2 linked regions of the Notamacropus eugenii genome follow. The protein of the gene in region 1 purifies or fractionates together with the protein of each later gene. This does not show direct contact. Links are inferred from orthologs where the notes say so. Each region holds a gene or a part of one and is shown on either strand. Other genes may lie near its edges.

Evidence for each region.
Region 2: the proteins of NUP133 (region 1) and NUP37 purify together in Homo sapiens (affinity purification with mass spectrometry; 4 studies listed by BioGRID and IntAct, with this or other methods). This does not show direct contact. The link is inferred for Notamacropus eugenii from reciprocal best matches to the Homo sapiens genes NUP133 and NUP37.

Annotation. Positions count from the first base shown.
Region 1 is NC_092873.1:388,636,984-388,644,494, forward strand, and holds the start of NUP133 (nuclear pore complex protein Nup133), read left to right. Parts: upstream 1-4,194; 5' UTR 4,195-4,210; coding exon 4,211-4,395; intron 4,396-4,488; exon of another isoform or gene 4,489-4,641; intron 4,642-5,495; exon of another isoform or gene 5,496-6,317; intron 6,318-6,529; coding exon 6,530-6,648; intron 6,649-7,511. UniProt on the Homo sapiens protein: Involved in poly(A)+ RNA transport. Involved in nephrogenesis.
Region 2 is NC_092874.1:285,065,704-285,073,401, reverse strand, and holds the start of NUP37 (nucleoporin Nup37), read left to right. Parts: upstream 1-4,261; 5' UTR 4,262-4,282; coding exon 4,283-4,450; intron 4,451-7,698. UniProt on the Homo sapiens protein: Component of the Nup107-160 subcomplex of the nuclear pore complex (NPC). The Nup107-160 subcomplex is required for the assembly of a functional NPC.

The DNA of each region.
Region 1 (7,511 bases):
GAATAAATAAGAGGAGGGGAGGAATATGGGTAAGATTGAACCTTGAACTGTCTATTCCCCCATCCCAATTCAGAAAATGTTTAGCATGATTGGGAAGCCAGTAAACAAAATTATGGAAGGTTATTGCATTTAAAAATTTTAAAGTTGTTTACTGTCATTTATAATTATTACTATTAGTTATTAAACTCCCAAGCCTCATGCTTGGGAGACACACTTTGTCAGTATTAAAAGCTCCGTTTGAAGCATGTGTGAGAACACACAGAATTTGGAAAGGGATAGCCAATGAGGCATATATATAAATTCATTATAAGTTTTGTTATTTGGGGAACTATACTAGGATTATTATTGTTTGTTCTTAACAGGATTCTCTGTTCAGCAATTGTCCTAAGCCATTTACCACAACATCTAAACAGGACTCTTCTATTAAGATTGTGTGGACTTGACAAACCTTGGGAACAATGCAACCAAAATGTAATACCTTGGGAATGTCCCTTTTGGGCATGATCCTGCTCCCACTGCTGGGATATCAGGCCCCAGTTATCAACCCCCCCTCTTGAAAATAGTTTCCTGGACCTAATTCAGACCATTGTGGAAACCTTTGAGGTATCCGATTATTGGATTTGTGGGGGACCTCAGCGGTTAAGTCAATGGCCATGGGTAGCAGTACTGCTGAGTTCAGTCTGGATTTTAAGTAATAGATCTGTAGTACATGACAGAACAAGATTCTGGATAAGCCAAGAGAAACACCAATGGTTTTTGTCCGAATCAGTTCCGGGTGAACATTGTTTAAATTAAACAGGACCCGAATTGCAGGAGACATGGTTGGGAGAAAGTAATTGTAAGTGGACATTCACACAAAGACCAGAAACCCTGGCTCGTATTGATTGTGCCCAGTATGCAAACAGATGGGATCAGAACAGTATTACCTGCTCAGATGGTAGGGTGATTCCCTGTACCCATTTATTTTTCCCATCCTCTTCATAGGAGGAGAGAACAAAAGGGGAATATCACAGGAGTTGCGGGTATAAGTTTTACAACCCCTCTGATCCCAGAAAACAATGTGAAGGGGGTCACGACTATGACTATTTGTGGAGTTGCATATATATGAATAGTACTAAGAATAACACAGAATATAGAGAATGGGTATGGAAGCAGGAGAATGGAACACATAGGATGATGTTTGATACTTTCTGGAGTGTAATCAATAGAACTGGGGAGAATTATCAACATTGTATATGGAAGAGGAAACAACAACTATGGAAGTGCAAGTCAGAGATCCTGAAAGGGGGACCATTAGGCCCGGATGATGTGAAGTACTTTCTGGCTGTGGATTATAGAGTAAGACTGTTTCTAGAGGAAAATCCTGCTTTGAGAGGACATTATTGGATATGTGGACAGACAGCTTATACTCACCTTCTGCTAAACTGGAGAGGTGTTTGTTACATTGGATTGGTGAGACCTAAATTCTTTTTCTTGCCTGAATCAGGGAAACAGCATCTAGGAGTCCCTCTATATGATGATCTAGCCAAAAGGAAGAGGAACATTGACACCTCCCTCACTCAGACTGGAAATGCAAATGGGTGGGGTGACACTTGGCCTCCTGAGAGGATAATTAGAGAGTATGGGCCTGCAACTTGGGCTCAAGAAGGGAGTTGGGGTTATAGAACCCCTATATATCTATTAAATAGACTAATCAGACTCCAAGCAGTAGTTGAAATTATAACCAATCAAATAGCAAAGGCTTTGGACTTATTGGCTGATCAAGCCACACAAACTAGGGAAGCAGTACTGCAACATAGACTGATCTTAGATTATTTACTTGCAGAAGAAGGGGGAGTTTGTGGGAAATTCAATTTATCTATATGTTGCTTAAAAATTGATGATAATGGAAGGACAGAGAAAGATCACCAAGAATATCAGGAAAGTTGCCCGCGTTCTGGTACAAATTTGAAACTCCCTTTTCAATACGTCTTGGTGGTCCTGGTTTGAAGGGAGCTGGTGGGAAGAGATTACTGTGGTTTGGCCTCATAGCAATTAGTGGTATCATATTACTTCCTATTTGTTTACCTTGTTTGATTTCACTTATTACTAAAATAGTTAGAAATTCTCTCCTAAAACTTGCTAGAGTAGAAGAGAAGACCAAAGGAGCCATTTGGTTGATGACACTAAAGAAGGAAGGATGGGCATCTGTGGAGACAAAAGACAGGAATGACCCTGATTGGGATGAGGAGATTAATAGACAGTGTGAGATCATGTTACAGAACTTTGGTTGAAATATCTGTGAGAAGTCTTCAGGTTAATAAATAAGAGGAGGGATTGAGTGGGATAGTGAAGACTTCTCAGATTGTAATTCTTCTCCCAGGGGTGAAGTAAGACCTAGAGGCTCAAGGTTACAATATTTTTAGAATAGAATAGTTCCATATAAGGATGTAAAACTGTGTAGTGTATTAGGGTCTTAATGATTGGATAAAACTTACATAATTCCTCAATGTCTTCATTTCAAAAGGGATTGGTTAGAGTTCGTGTCTAGAATGTAAGATCATATTCTCAGCTAATGAGGATAATGGTCAGTGGGGGAGGAAGGACTTGCGTTAGGGTCTATATAAATCACTGCCTTTTCTTTGTTATTGTCTTTCCTACTCCAGATGAACTGGTGTAGGATTGTCCTGATTCTCGAGAATCTAGTAAATAAACTTTCTGTCATCACTTGGAGAGGCCTCTGAGTAATTGATTTAAGTAGGGACCTGAGCCATCCCACACACTTTTGTTCATTAATGGACCACTGAAATGCCCAGAGCAACCATTTCAAACTTCTTTTCCCCCTGAAACTACCCTCTACCACCTGCTTCTGCCCTAACCAGAGAACCTGACATATTATATTGCTGAAAAGACTAAAACCATCCCATTGTGAGTCCTTTCTTCTCAATTCTGCACCCCAAATGCCCTCAACTTCATCTCCCATTTTTTCCTTTTTTACTACAATATTTACAGGAAGCAATGTCCCTTTCCTAGCCAAGGCTAGAACCCTCTACTTGTGCCCTTGATTTTATTCCACCATTATCTTCTCCCATTTTCAATCACTATGCATTATCTTCTTAACTCTAAAAAAAATTCTTTATTTGACCTCATTAACCAATTAGAGAGCATTTATTAAACACTTACTGTGTGCCAGGCACTTTGTTAAGCGCAGGGATACACAGAAAGGCAAACGATATTCCCTGCCTTCAAGGCGTTTCCTGCAGAATGGAGACTATGTTCAAACAAGATAAACTAAGGAGAGAATCCACAGGATTTCAGGGTCAGGAAATGACGTGACAGCAGAGGTGCGGGGATGAGGGGACCTGCACCAGGGTGGTATAGGGCCAGGGGACAAAAGAGGTCACACCGAAGAGACCCAGGAAGAGTCTCGGCATTGCTAGAGGTCACTGATAACAGGCAGCGGTCTACACTAGGATCCTGGTCCTGTCTCCACAGCATCTCTCCATCCGCCTCGGAAAGACTGGGATAGTAACAGCCCGCGCTTACACGTAGCTTGAAGGTTTGCAGAGCGCTTTACTCGTTCAGGGCTTCTCCTGTTGTCTCTTTACCCTCACAACGCCGTGAGGAAGATGCTGGTCTTATCCCCACTTTATAGAGGAGGAAACTGAGGCAGAGGCTAAGCGACTTGTCCACGGCTACACTGCTTAAGTATCAGAGGCAGGATTCGAACTCGCATCTTCTGGTTCCAAGTTCAAAAATGAGGATTTGATGCCTTTTCCGTACACTGGCGGCTCGCGGGGCCTTTCTTGAACTCCACGCGCCGCTTGCTCTCGTGCTTCTCACAAATCTAAAGCCTGGAGTCCTTCATAGTGACCACACTAGTCTGGATTAGGCCAAAGGGGCGCACTTGAGGACCTAGAAAGCCACAGGCCGCAGGTTCCCTATCCCAACCCCACGCGGTAGCTTCAGGGTTTTTGTCTAAAACCCACCGAGTTCTTCAGCCTAGAAAACAAGCGTGACAGACCCAAGTTCCGGGACGAAGGAGGCGGGATTTCCGGTTCCACTTCCGATCTCACCCCCGTCAAACGCACGCGCCAGACCCAATCATGCAGCTGGAAAGCGCCGGCGGGTGAGGGCGTCGTGACGTCATCGCAACGCGCCTCGTTTTCAACCGGCCCGCGTTCCTTTCAGCTCCCGTGTTTGGGATCCCTACGGTTCCTCCCGTCTCGTCATGTTCCCTACTGCCTCCGCCTCCCCGCGGACCCCAGGAGCTGGGGTCCGCAGGGGCCCATTGGGGGGAACCACGCCGGTCTCCACGCCCCGCGCGGGGGGTAGGAAAGGCCTGACCCTGGGGTCCGCCGTGGGCTCGCCCGGGCTGTTCTCGCCGGTTAGCCGCCGCAGCTCCCTGAGTGCGCGGTAAGCGGATTCTTTTCTCCCCTCCCCCCCCTCCTTTACGTCAGCTGTTGCGTGGGTCGGGCCCGGACATCCCGAGGGGCCGCAGGGGCAGCCTCCCCGCGCGTTTGGGCTCGCGAACGGGCTGACCATCCACCTGGGGTGGGGCCTGTGTCCCAGTGGCCCTCGGCCTGGCCCTGCCCAGCGAGTGCTCGGGGCCCTGAACTGAAGCGTGCCATGGCAAGGGGACAGGAAAGTGCCCCTCCCCCTGTAAGCTTTCTCCCGCCCACCATCAGAGCAGCCCTGATCCTAACGATCCATGCTGGTTGAACTCTAAGGTTTACGAAGTGCTTTCCGCCCCAGACCCCAGCGAAGCCCGCTGTGCAAGGGGCCCCCTTTTACTGAGGCTCAGTCAGTCAGCTAGCACTGATCAGACCTCGGGAAGCATACACTGCGGGAGTGGGGGGGGGGGGTCCGTGTGTGCAGAGACAGCATGCCCGTAACTAAGTGCCCCCGAGACACCGAGACGGGGGAGGCTGAGTGGTGAGGGAGCCAGGCTGCAGGCACCGAGAGCTCGGAGGGTGGGAAGAGGCTGAAGAGGCCGGCGTCTCCGGTTCTTAGAGTTGGGAGGGGATGAGAACCCCCGCTGACCATGTCAAGGATGCAGATCCAAGACACTTTTTCTTAGGGTTTTTGTTTTGGTTGGTTTTCTTTCACAGCATGCCGTATGTTTTGCATGACCAGTGGTGTAAAGCCTCTGTCAAATTGCTTGCCTTCTCAGTGGGGGTAGGGGAGAATTTGAAACTCAGAATTTGAAAGGAAAAAAGAATGTTAAAATTGTTTTTACATGTAATTTGGAAAGCATGAAATATCAAATAAGATTTGAAGAACAAAAGTAAAGGAGTGGTTAGAGTTAGATACTTGGTGGTGCTGGCTTCTTCCTGTTTAGCTTTCATAACCAAAGCTTGAGGGGTGGGAGTGGAATCTATCTTTATCTTAGAAATTTCTTTTTTGAGCAGAATTTGCTACAGTGGTTTTCCTTCTTCTAGAAGTAGGAAGGCTGCAGATTGGTGCTTCTGTAGCTCTTTTGGGAAAAATTACTTTTATAGTTTCTATGGAAAAGAAACAAGCATTGTGAAGAAGTGACTTCATCTCTAATCCATCCAGTTTGGACAAAATGCTCTGCAAAATGTTTTTGTTGTGTTACTTGTTGCTTTAGTGAAAATTGGTAGTGAACAAGAACCATGTCTTCTTTAAGTTTCATTTTATTTGTTCTTCAGCTGCCCATGTTGAAATAACAACCCTTCGGATAACGTAAGGCCCCATAATAACAACAGCACAAAGAGCTTTACCTATCTCATTTGATTCTAATTACACTCCTGTGAGGAGGTAGGTGCTATTGTTAGCCTTATTTTACAGCTAGTAAGTATCTGAGGCACTACTGAATTGATGTTTTCCTAAGTCCAAGTCTAGCACTTTACCAAACACTGTCCCACCTAGCTACTTAAAACCGTATTATAGACTTTTCATGTTTCAGTGAGAGCACTGTGTACCTGGGAAAGATATTTGAACTTCATCGCAGGATCCTTGGAATAATACTATTTACTGTAAAACGTAAGGTTCCTGGGGACAATGATTTTTTTTAATCCTTTTATCTCTTATATTGTAGAGTGTTGTATCTGAAATAAATGCTCTGTAGATGTCGAAATGGAAAATTTACTGCATTTTGAATAAAAAATGAGAAGAAAATATTTCTTTCCACTTTACCATATTTACTGTAAAAAATAGTATGACAACAAAATTCTCTTGTATTAGATGCTAATTGATTCATTAGTTTTCTCATGTAGTTTTGAGTGATTCATTAGTTTTCCTATGTTTCTTTTCTCATAATTTTAGAGCTAGAAGGGATCATCTATTCCAGTCACATTTTACTGAGGCTTTGAGAGGTAAATTACTTGCCCAAGTCCAGATAGCTAGTTATTAGCAGAGCTGAAATTAGAATCTGGGCTTCTTAACTACCAGGAAGGTGCTTTTCCTATAATACCTCATTTTTCATTGTCCCCCTGCTTTTATTTTTTTTTTTGAGCTAAAATTATGTCAAAGTAAGTGGAGGAAATGAAATTATAAAACAAATGACAAGTTATATTATTTCATTTAGCGGAACACCCACAAGAATGGTACAGCACCAGTCTGTCAGTGAGACTATCAACTATGATGTGAAAACTTTTGGATCTTCTCTTCCTGTTAAAGTTATGGAAGCTCTAGCACTGGCTGAAGGTAGGTGATATTGGTTATTTTTCCGTTTTAGAAACTTTAAAAGCCTAAGCTAAGAATAAAGGATAAGAATTTATGATTTGCATCTATATGTATTTGACTCTGCTTTGAGGGATGTAACTAGTAACATCAATAACAAAATTAAACCTTAACCACTTTAACCTTTATTTAGCCAAAATCTAAACCAATATCAAAAGTTGACTAATAAGAATCATAATAGTTTCAACTCTGCAAAATAGGTCAATAAGATTTTGAAATGAAGGATATTAACTATTTCAGTAGAAACCAAGGAGAACATAGATATTAATGAAGTCTTTCCTAAAGTCTTATTGCCATAATCTTTGGATCACACACAGTGAAGTGAGAATCTGCTCACACACATTTGTTCTGTGATCTTTGACATATTTATACAAAGAAGATTCTTCCTTCAGAATGGGAAATCTGTAATAAATTCTATAGAAGAAAATTCCAAAAGGAATAGAAAAATATTCCATCTCTCTTCCCTGTCCTTTAATCATTCGTGACAATAGAGAGAATGTAGAAAAAGACAAAGTTCAAGGTTAGCCACATTGTCCATTTAAGAGATTCCTCTCTAAATTATGACCTTTCTGGTTTTCTTAACATTTCACCTTCCCACATACTCTCCACTGTGACACTGACCTCCTTGCTGTTCTTTGCAAATGATACTCTCTGCATTTTCACTGGCTGTCCTTATGCTTGGAACTTTTTTCCTCTTCTGCCTCCTGGTTTCTGTGTTTCTTAATCAAGTGTCAGCTAAAGTCCTGCCTTTCAGGAAAAGTGTTTCCCAGTCCTCCTTAATTCTATTGCCTTTTTTTTTTTTTAATTGTCTCCTACTCACCCTGTTT
Region 2 (7,698 bases), on another chromosome or scaffold:
CATCGACAATGAGCTTCTATTAGAAAGATTATCAGCAGGAACAGGACAAATCACTCACTCTGGCTCAGTTTCTTCCTAGTACCTACTGGATCTAACACCACAAACTGTTGAAAGAATCAGTTGAGATTAAAGTTGTTGGAAGAATCCCTGTGGTGCAACAACCCTTTGTATAACACTTTCAACACAGTAGGGCAATCTTTTATTCCTCCCTAAGTGATTTCCTCATGCACTCCCCACAAATTCTTTTTCAAACTACATTACAGAGGAAATACACAAATGAATAAGAGATGTCATAGTCTCTGCTCTTAAGAATGAATATGATCTGGGTCAGAAGACAAACACATTCAAAAACTGAATGCATGGGGGACATCTACAAAAAATAAAAATAAAAAAAAATCACTTAAGGAAGCAAGTATACATACATCGTGCTGGAAGAAATATATAATCAGATTTGGTATAAGGTCAGTGCCTTCTTTAACTACTGAAATGTAGCTTTTGCACTGTCTGCACTCCTTCCCCCATTATGCCCTCCATCATTACCCCCCTATCTTTCAGAATTTTTCATTTTCTTCAAGAATCAGCTCAAACTCTGTCTCCTACAAGAAGACCCCAAATGTCAGTGCTTTGCCCCTAAAACTATGTTCTTTTGTGAGTGTGTATGGTGCTTTCCACCTACTTTTTCTCCCATTGGAAGATCCTAGAGGGCAGGACCTATTTCACTCTTGACTTTATATCCTGGCACAGAATAGGTACTTAATAAATGTTTGCCCATTGATTCTTTGATTCTGACATTTTCCTTTTTATAGTACCAGCATAACGGAAGATGAACTGGAATTGAACACTGCCTCCAGAGTCTTTGCCCTAGTCACTTTCCAGACTGGCTATTTCTTGTCAGGGAGAGCCTGAACCTGTTACTGCATCTATAAAATGGGAAGATTTTCACTGCCTACTTCACATGAAATCATGCGTATAAAGATACATATACCATGCACAAGAACATGGCAAAGTACACACTGTAGCTATTATTATCATTCAGCAAGTGAGCCAAGGTTCCAGCTAAAAGCATTAATGACAAATACATTTATATAAAGCTTTTAGGTTTGTAGTCTTCTTATCACCATGAGGTCTGAAGCCATAGGTAATTCAATAATTGGAAGGGATGAGTCCCTCAGATTTTCCCATAGTACACTAGGTCTCTCCTTTGTCTAACATGCTCCACTTTGTATTTGGGTACAAATCACAACATCTTGACAACTGAAATCACCCATATAGGAAAAGCATCTCCACGATAACATACTTAATAAGGAGTCATCCAGCTGCTGCTTGGACTCTTTAAAGACAGGCAACTAACCGCCAGCAGTAATGCTAATAGCATTTAGGGAACACTTTAAGGTTTGTAAAAGGCCTTATATTTTTTCTTATTTGAGTCTCACAAATGAGATATGTGAATCCTGTGAGGTACATGCAACTGTTTTTTCACAATTTACACCTGAGGAAACTGAAGCTGAAAAAGTTAGGTAATTTGCCCAGAGTCACATGGTAAGTACCTGAGGCAAGATTTAAATTCAGGTCTTGCTGAGTCAAGGTCCATATAGTTAAAAGTTTGTGGGGCAGCTGAGTGGTATAGAATGGATAGAAAGCCAGCCCTGGAGTCAGGATGATATGAGCTCAAATCTAGCCTCAGACACTTACTAGCCATGTGACCCTGGGCAAGTTTACCCTGTTTGCCTCAGTTTCCTCATCTGTAAAATGAGCTGGAGAAGGAAATGGCAAACCACTCCAATGTCTCTGCCAAGAAAACCCCAAATGGGGTCATGAAGAATTGGACACAACTACACAACAAAAATAAAAACTGTAGTTTGTATGTTACTTATGTGCAGGGATTAATGCCTTTTCCCATGTTCTTATCTCTAGGCTATAAAAAGTATCCTTTTTGTTACAAAAATTTTCTTTTGCCGAGTAGATACTTTAAAAACTATGCTGAAATGGGGTAGGTGATGTTTTGTTTTTTGGACTGGATATGTGATCTCATTAATATGAAGAACTCTAAGGCAAAGAAACTCTAGTTACTGGATAAAGGTGAACCAATATCTTCTCTGCAAATGAATCTTAGGAATGTGGCCTAGACCAGACATGTCAGACAACCAAGGACCTCACATGCTTCCCAACACACCCGAGTATGGCCTGAAGTAAAATAAATATAAGTAGGAAATACTTCATATATAACAATGTAATATAATTATATAATATACAGCATATAGTAATTATTAAGAAATACTTAAGAAAAATTTTCAAATGCAATAAAACATAATTACATTTTAAAACTCAATCAATATACTGCCTGCAGGAATCCTTACATATGCATTCATGGCCTAGTTTTGAGTTTGACACCACTGGCCTAGAACACTAACAGATTAAGTGAACCACCCAGGGTCACACAGCTTATGTGAAACCCAGGTTTTCCTGACACCACGATCTTGCCTTTCTTTTGTACATTTCTGGGGAGCACCTAACTTGTTATTTCATTGGTACAGAGGATGTGCTGAAGCTAGCTCAGACCAACTAGTGAGAGCTGGCTGTTAAATTTTCAGTGTGAACATTTAAACCTCTAAAACACTACCAATCAGTCCTGAGTTTATTGTTTGCTTAAGAAAGTGAGAGAGAAAATAATGCAGGTTCAGCTTAAAAGTGTGTCTGAAACAGCTGGTCCTGGAGTCAGGTAAGACCTGCGTTCACATCCATCCTTAGACACTTCCTAGCTGTGTGACCTCAGGCCTGCCATTTAACCTCTGCTGCCTCACTTTGCTCAACTATGATATGGTGATAAGAGCATCCACTTTGTAGTTGGGAGCATATAGCACAGTACCTGGCACAGTCCTCACCCCCAATGCATTTTTTTTTCCTCCTGAGAGTTGGTTGTTAATGTTGATCAGCAACTATGTTGCAACTTGCCCAAGGCAGACTGATTCTCTATCCCATATGCCAAGCTGATGCTGATGGAGGTAGTGGTAGTGGTAGAGACGGTAGTAGCAGCAGCAGCAGTAATAGAAGTACTAGTACCACTAGTAGTAGTAGCAGCAGCAGCTGCAGTAAAAGTAGAAGTAGTAGCAGCAGTACAAGTAGCAATAGAAGTAGCAGTAACAGTAGCAGCAGTAGTAGTAACAGTAGCAGCAGTAGTAACAGTAGCAGCAGTAGTAGTAACAGTAGCAGTAGTAGTAACAGTAGCAGTAGTAGTAGCAGCAGCTGCAGTAAAAGTAGCAATATTAATAGTAGAAGTAGTAGCAGCAGTAGTAGCACCAGTAGCAGTAGAAGTAGCTGTAGAAGTAGCAGTAACAGTAGCAGCAGCAGTAGTAACAGTAGCAGTAGTAGTAGCAGCAGCTGCAGTAAAAGTAGCAATATTAACAGCAGAAGTAGTAGCAGCAGTAGCAGCAAGGGGCTTTTGCAGCACTTAGCACAGTGTCTGGCATACAGTAGGAGCTTAATAAATGTTTACCAAAATGAACTGAATTGCCATCAAGGTCACAAAGGTGGTAAGTGGCGGGGGCAGGGATCATAGCAGGGATTGTGGATGCGGGTGTCTTGGGCATCATGCCCTCCCCTCCCCCACTGCTAGTGTGCTCCCTACAGAACTGGCCTGAAGTCTGGAGGACCTGAGTTCAAATCCGACCCCAGGTACTCCCTGGCTGTGTGACCCTGGGCAAGTCACTTCCCTTTTTTGCCTCAGTTTCCTCATCTGTCAAAGGAGCTGGAGAAGGAGATGGCAAACTGGCCAGAAAACCCCAGACTGGGTCACAAGCACCATGACAATGATCATTATTGGGGGGGGGGGGGGTCCTCGGGGGAGTGGCCCTGCCTCGGTTTCCCTATCCGTGGGGTGGGGATGATGATGACAAGCACCGACACCCCCTCCCCAAGACTGGGGCGGGTCGCTAGGCCGAGCAGAAAGGGCCCCACAAAGCGCCTTGCATTTTACAAGTGAGGAAACTGAGGCCCCCAACTTGCCCAAGGTCCCCGGACTGGGAAGTGACGGCGGCAGGATTTGAACCCGGGTACCCTCGGTCTCCTCTCCTCCCGCCCCCCGTGCCCCGCGAGCTCACCTGACCAACCCCACCGCCCGCCCGGGTAGTCACCGGCTCGCGCCGCCTCAGCTGCTTCTGCTGCGGCTCCGGGAGATTTAAACTTCGGCTCCGCGAGCGGTTGGAGGCCACGGACCAATCAGCGGCGGCGCCCTCTGACCCGGAAGCGCTAGCGCGCGAGTCGCCGCGCCGGGGCCAGAGCGCGCATGCGCCGGAGGCGGAGGCGGCACTGTGGAGTTTACCGTGGGTCAGGAAGCCAGATCGACCAAATTTTCGTCTCCTCCTCTTCCTTTCCTTCTCTGCCTCCTCCTCCTCCTCACTCGAGTCTCACCGCCGTCGGGGAAGTAAGTGCCCTTGTCTTCCTCATTCCTCAGGTGAGGAAACTGAGGCCAGGAAGAGGGCGGGGGCAAGAGCTGGTACCGCCCTCCCAGGCCGGGGCTAGACCCCCCTCATGATAATAATAATGGTTGTTATCGTAGCCAGATAATTGTTATTTATTCTATGTGTTCATGTGCACGTAACCCTTTATAGACACGAATTCATATTTGTAGAGGTGTTTATATGTTACTTATTTCTATACACGTTTACATGTTCAGAGCTTCTCCATCTGCTGTAATGAATGGTTCCCCCCATGGAGGGTGTGCTGGCGGCTGATGCTGCACGTGTGTTTCTTTGGTGTTGATTATTAGGCCAAAATGAGCACAGGCAGCAGAGAACTGATCCATGCTCTGTTGCATCTCGACCGCACTGAGTGCACAATCGTCTGCAAACGGAAAATCATGCACCAACACTCCCTCCACTTTGGTCTTGGCTTGTAACCTTTTCAAATTGAAGAATTTGCCATCAGTAGCGTAGTTGACCTTGATGCTGGGTTCATCCTCACTGAAAGCATTTGACAACATGACTGAAAACGTCATGCTAAAAAAGGATGTTAGCAAGCACACAGCCCTGTTTCACTCCATTGGTGACTGGGAAGGCACTAGAGCATTGTCTACTGTCCAGAACCCGGGCAAACAGTGTCATCATGAAATTGATGTACAATATTGATGAACTTCTCTGGACAACCAAATGTTGACATAATTTTCCATAAGCCCTCACCACTAACTGTATCAAAGGCCTTGATCAGATCTACAGACGTCCTGCTCCTGGCATTTCTCCTGGAGTTCAGGTAGCATGTAGTTATGCCAGTTGTCTGTGTATTGAGTATATACAAATACAGTGCCTTAAGGTTTGTGAAGCACTTTATAAATATGATCTCATTTGGCCCTCACAACAACCTTGGGAGGCAGGTGCCATGATGATCCCCATTTAACAGATGAGGAAATTGAGGCAACTCAATTTGAGTCAACTTGACTTATCCCTGAGTCACACTGCTAGTAAGTTATTAAGGTTGGATTTGAACTCAGATATCATATCCACCCGGCTGCCTGTAGGATCCTAGAACTAGAGCTGGAAGAGGCCTCAGAGGCTGTTTAGTGGAACCCCCTTATTTTGCAGGTGGGGAAAATGAGGCTTAGAGTTTTAAGCTCATCGACCTAGTGCTGGGAGGGGCTTCAGAGTCCATTTGGTACAGCCTCATTTTAGAGAGGAGCAAACTGAGGCTTAACAAAGGCGCTCTAGCTTTGGAGCTAGAAGAGCCTCAGAATACATCTCTTCCAACTGCCTCATTCTACAGAAGAGAAAACATCTAAGACTCTAGGCTTCTACTTCCTCACCTGTAAAATGAAGGGTTTGGATTGGTTGCCTTCTGAAGTCCCTTCCAACTCTAACTCTAGGTCTGAGGACCACAGATTTAGACCCAGAAGGGGTCTCAGAGATCATCTCATCCATTCACCTGTTTTGTTTTATTTGATTCATTGACAAGCATTTGTTTTCTCTTTATCCTGCCCTCAGTTTAAAAGAAAAAGAAAACTCTTGTAACACATATCCACCACAAATCCCCACATTGTCTCATTCTGCATCTTGAATCCATCTTCTTTCCATCAGGAGGTGAGTCCTCTGAAATCAGGACTAGTTGTTACTTTGATCAGAATTCTTACATCTTTTGTAGTTGTCTTTATGATGTTGCTAATGTATAAATTCTGATAGTGGTCACTTCATTCTGCATCAGTTCATAAAAGTCTTCACAATTTTTTCATCATCTCTTAGTACAAAATAGTATTCCATAATCTGTTCGCTTATTCCCCAATTGGTGGGTACCTCTTACTTTCTAGTTCTTTGGCTCTGCAAATGAGCTATAGATATTTTTATATGTATGGATCCTTTTCCTCTTCCTTTGATCTGGACTGTTGGCCTAGTACAGGTATGACCAAATCAGTATGCAAAGGGTATGTTTACTGACTTTTGGTCATGGTTTCAAATTGATTTCCAGAATGTCTGGACTAAGTCACTGTCACGCCAGTAGTTCATTAATATACCTAATTTCCTTCCGGCCCCTCCATTGCTGTAGTTTTCCTTTTTTGTTGTTGTATTTGCCAATCTGGCGGAACCTCAGGGTTGCTTTGTCTTTCTCTAATTACCAGTGATTTGCTGCATTTTTCCTTATGGCTGTTGATAGCTTCAGTGTCTTCCTTTTAGAAGTGCCTGCTCACATGTTTTGACCATTTCTCAGATGAAGCATGACTCATGTTCTTATGAATCTGAGGCAGTCCCTTTTATAAAAGTCTTTGAATTGAGCCCTTTATCAAAGAACTTGGCTGTAGTAATTTTCCCCCAGTTAACTCTTTCCCTTCTAATTTTAGCTTCACTGGTTTTATTTATGCAAAATAAATTTTAATTTTTTTTAATCAAAATGGTCTCTTCATCCATGAACTCTTCCCTATTCACAGATCTGAAAGAAAATTTCTAACTTAGTCCTCTAAATTGTTTATGACATCACCTTTTTATAGCTTAGTCATGCATTCATTTAGAAGTGATCCTTTTTGTGTGCTTTGGTTTACCTTTATTTCTCACAGAACATGACCAAGATGAGAGGTCTGAGTTTCCCCAAACAAAATTAGGTTTTAGAGACTAAGTTTGAAGCAACTGAAATGTTGTCATATACTATGGATCATGCTCCAAGTATCCCGTCATCCAAGTGTCCTGAGATTGAGACTTTTCCACAGAGAACTAGCCTGGAGTAACCGTAATGTTACTCAGAGTGTGTGTCTCCAACCACAAAGATCTTGTCCTTTGAGTGTTACATAGTTACTTACGCTGACCTTTGTTTTCCTCCTCCTTCCTGGAGGTGAGTGGACCAAAGGCATGCACATTGCACACGTTTTCCAAACGCACCACGGATGGGCTGACGTTTTATTTTCCTCCCTCACATACCCCATCCATACTAAGGATCATCCTGATTTTACAGATGAAGAAACTAAGGCCCATTTGCCCAAAGTCACAGGGAGAAGTGGCAGGGAATGGAAAAAGATCTGTGATTTCATTGGTCTGGAAAGTGGTACAACTGCCAGTGCACATCGGCACTGTCTGTATGCCTTGTAGTCTTACGGACTTGAATTGCCTAGAGCACTGAGAGGTCTGGGGATTTGCCTAGAGTTGTACAGCCAGCGTGTGCGTGTGTGTGTACATGTGTGTGTATGTACATGTTGGCATGCAATGCTCCTGTGTCTCTGGCAGTGGCCAG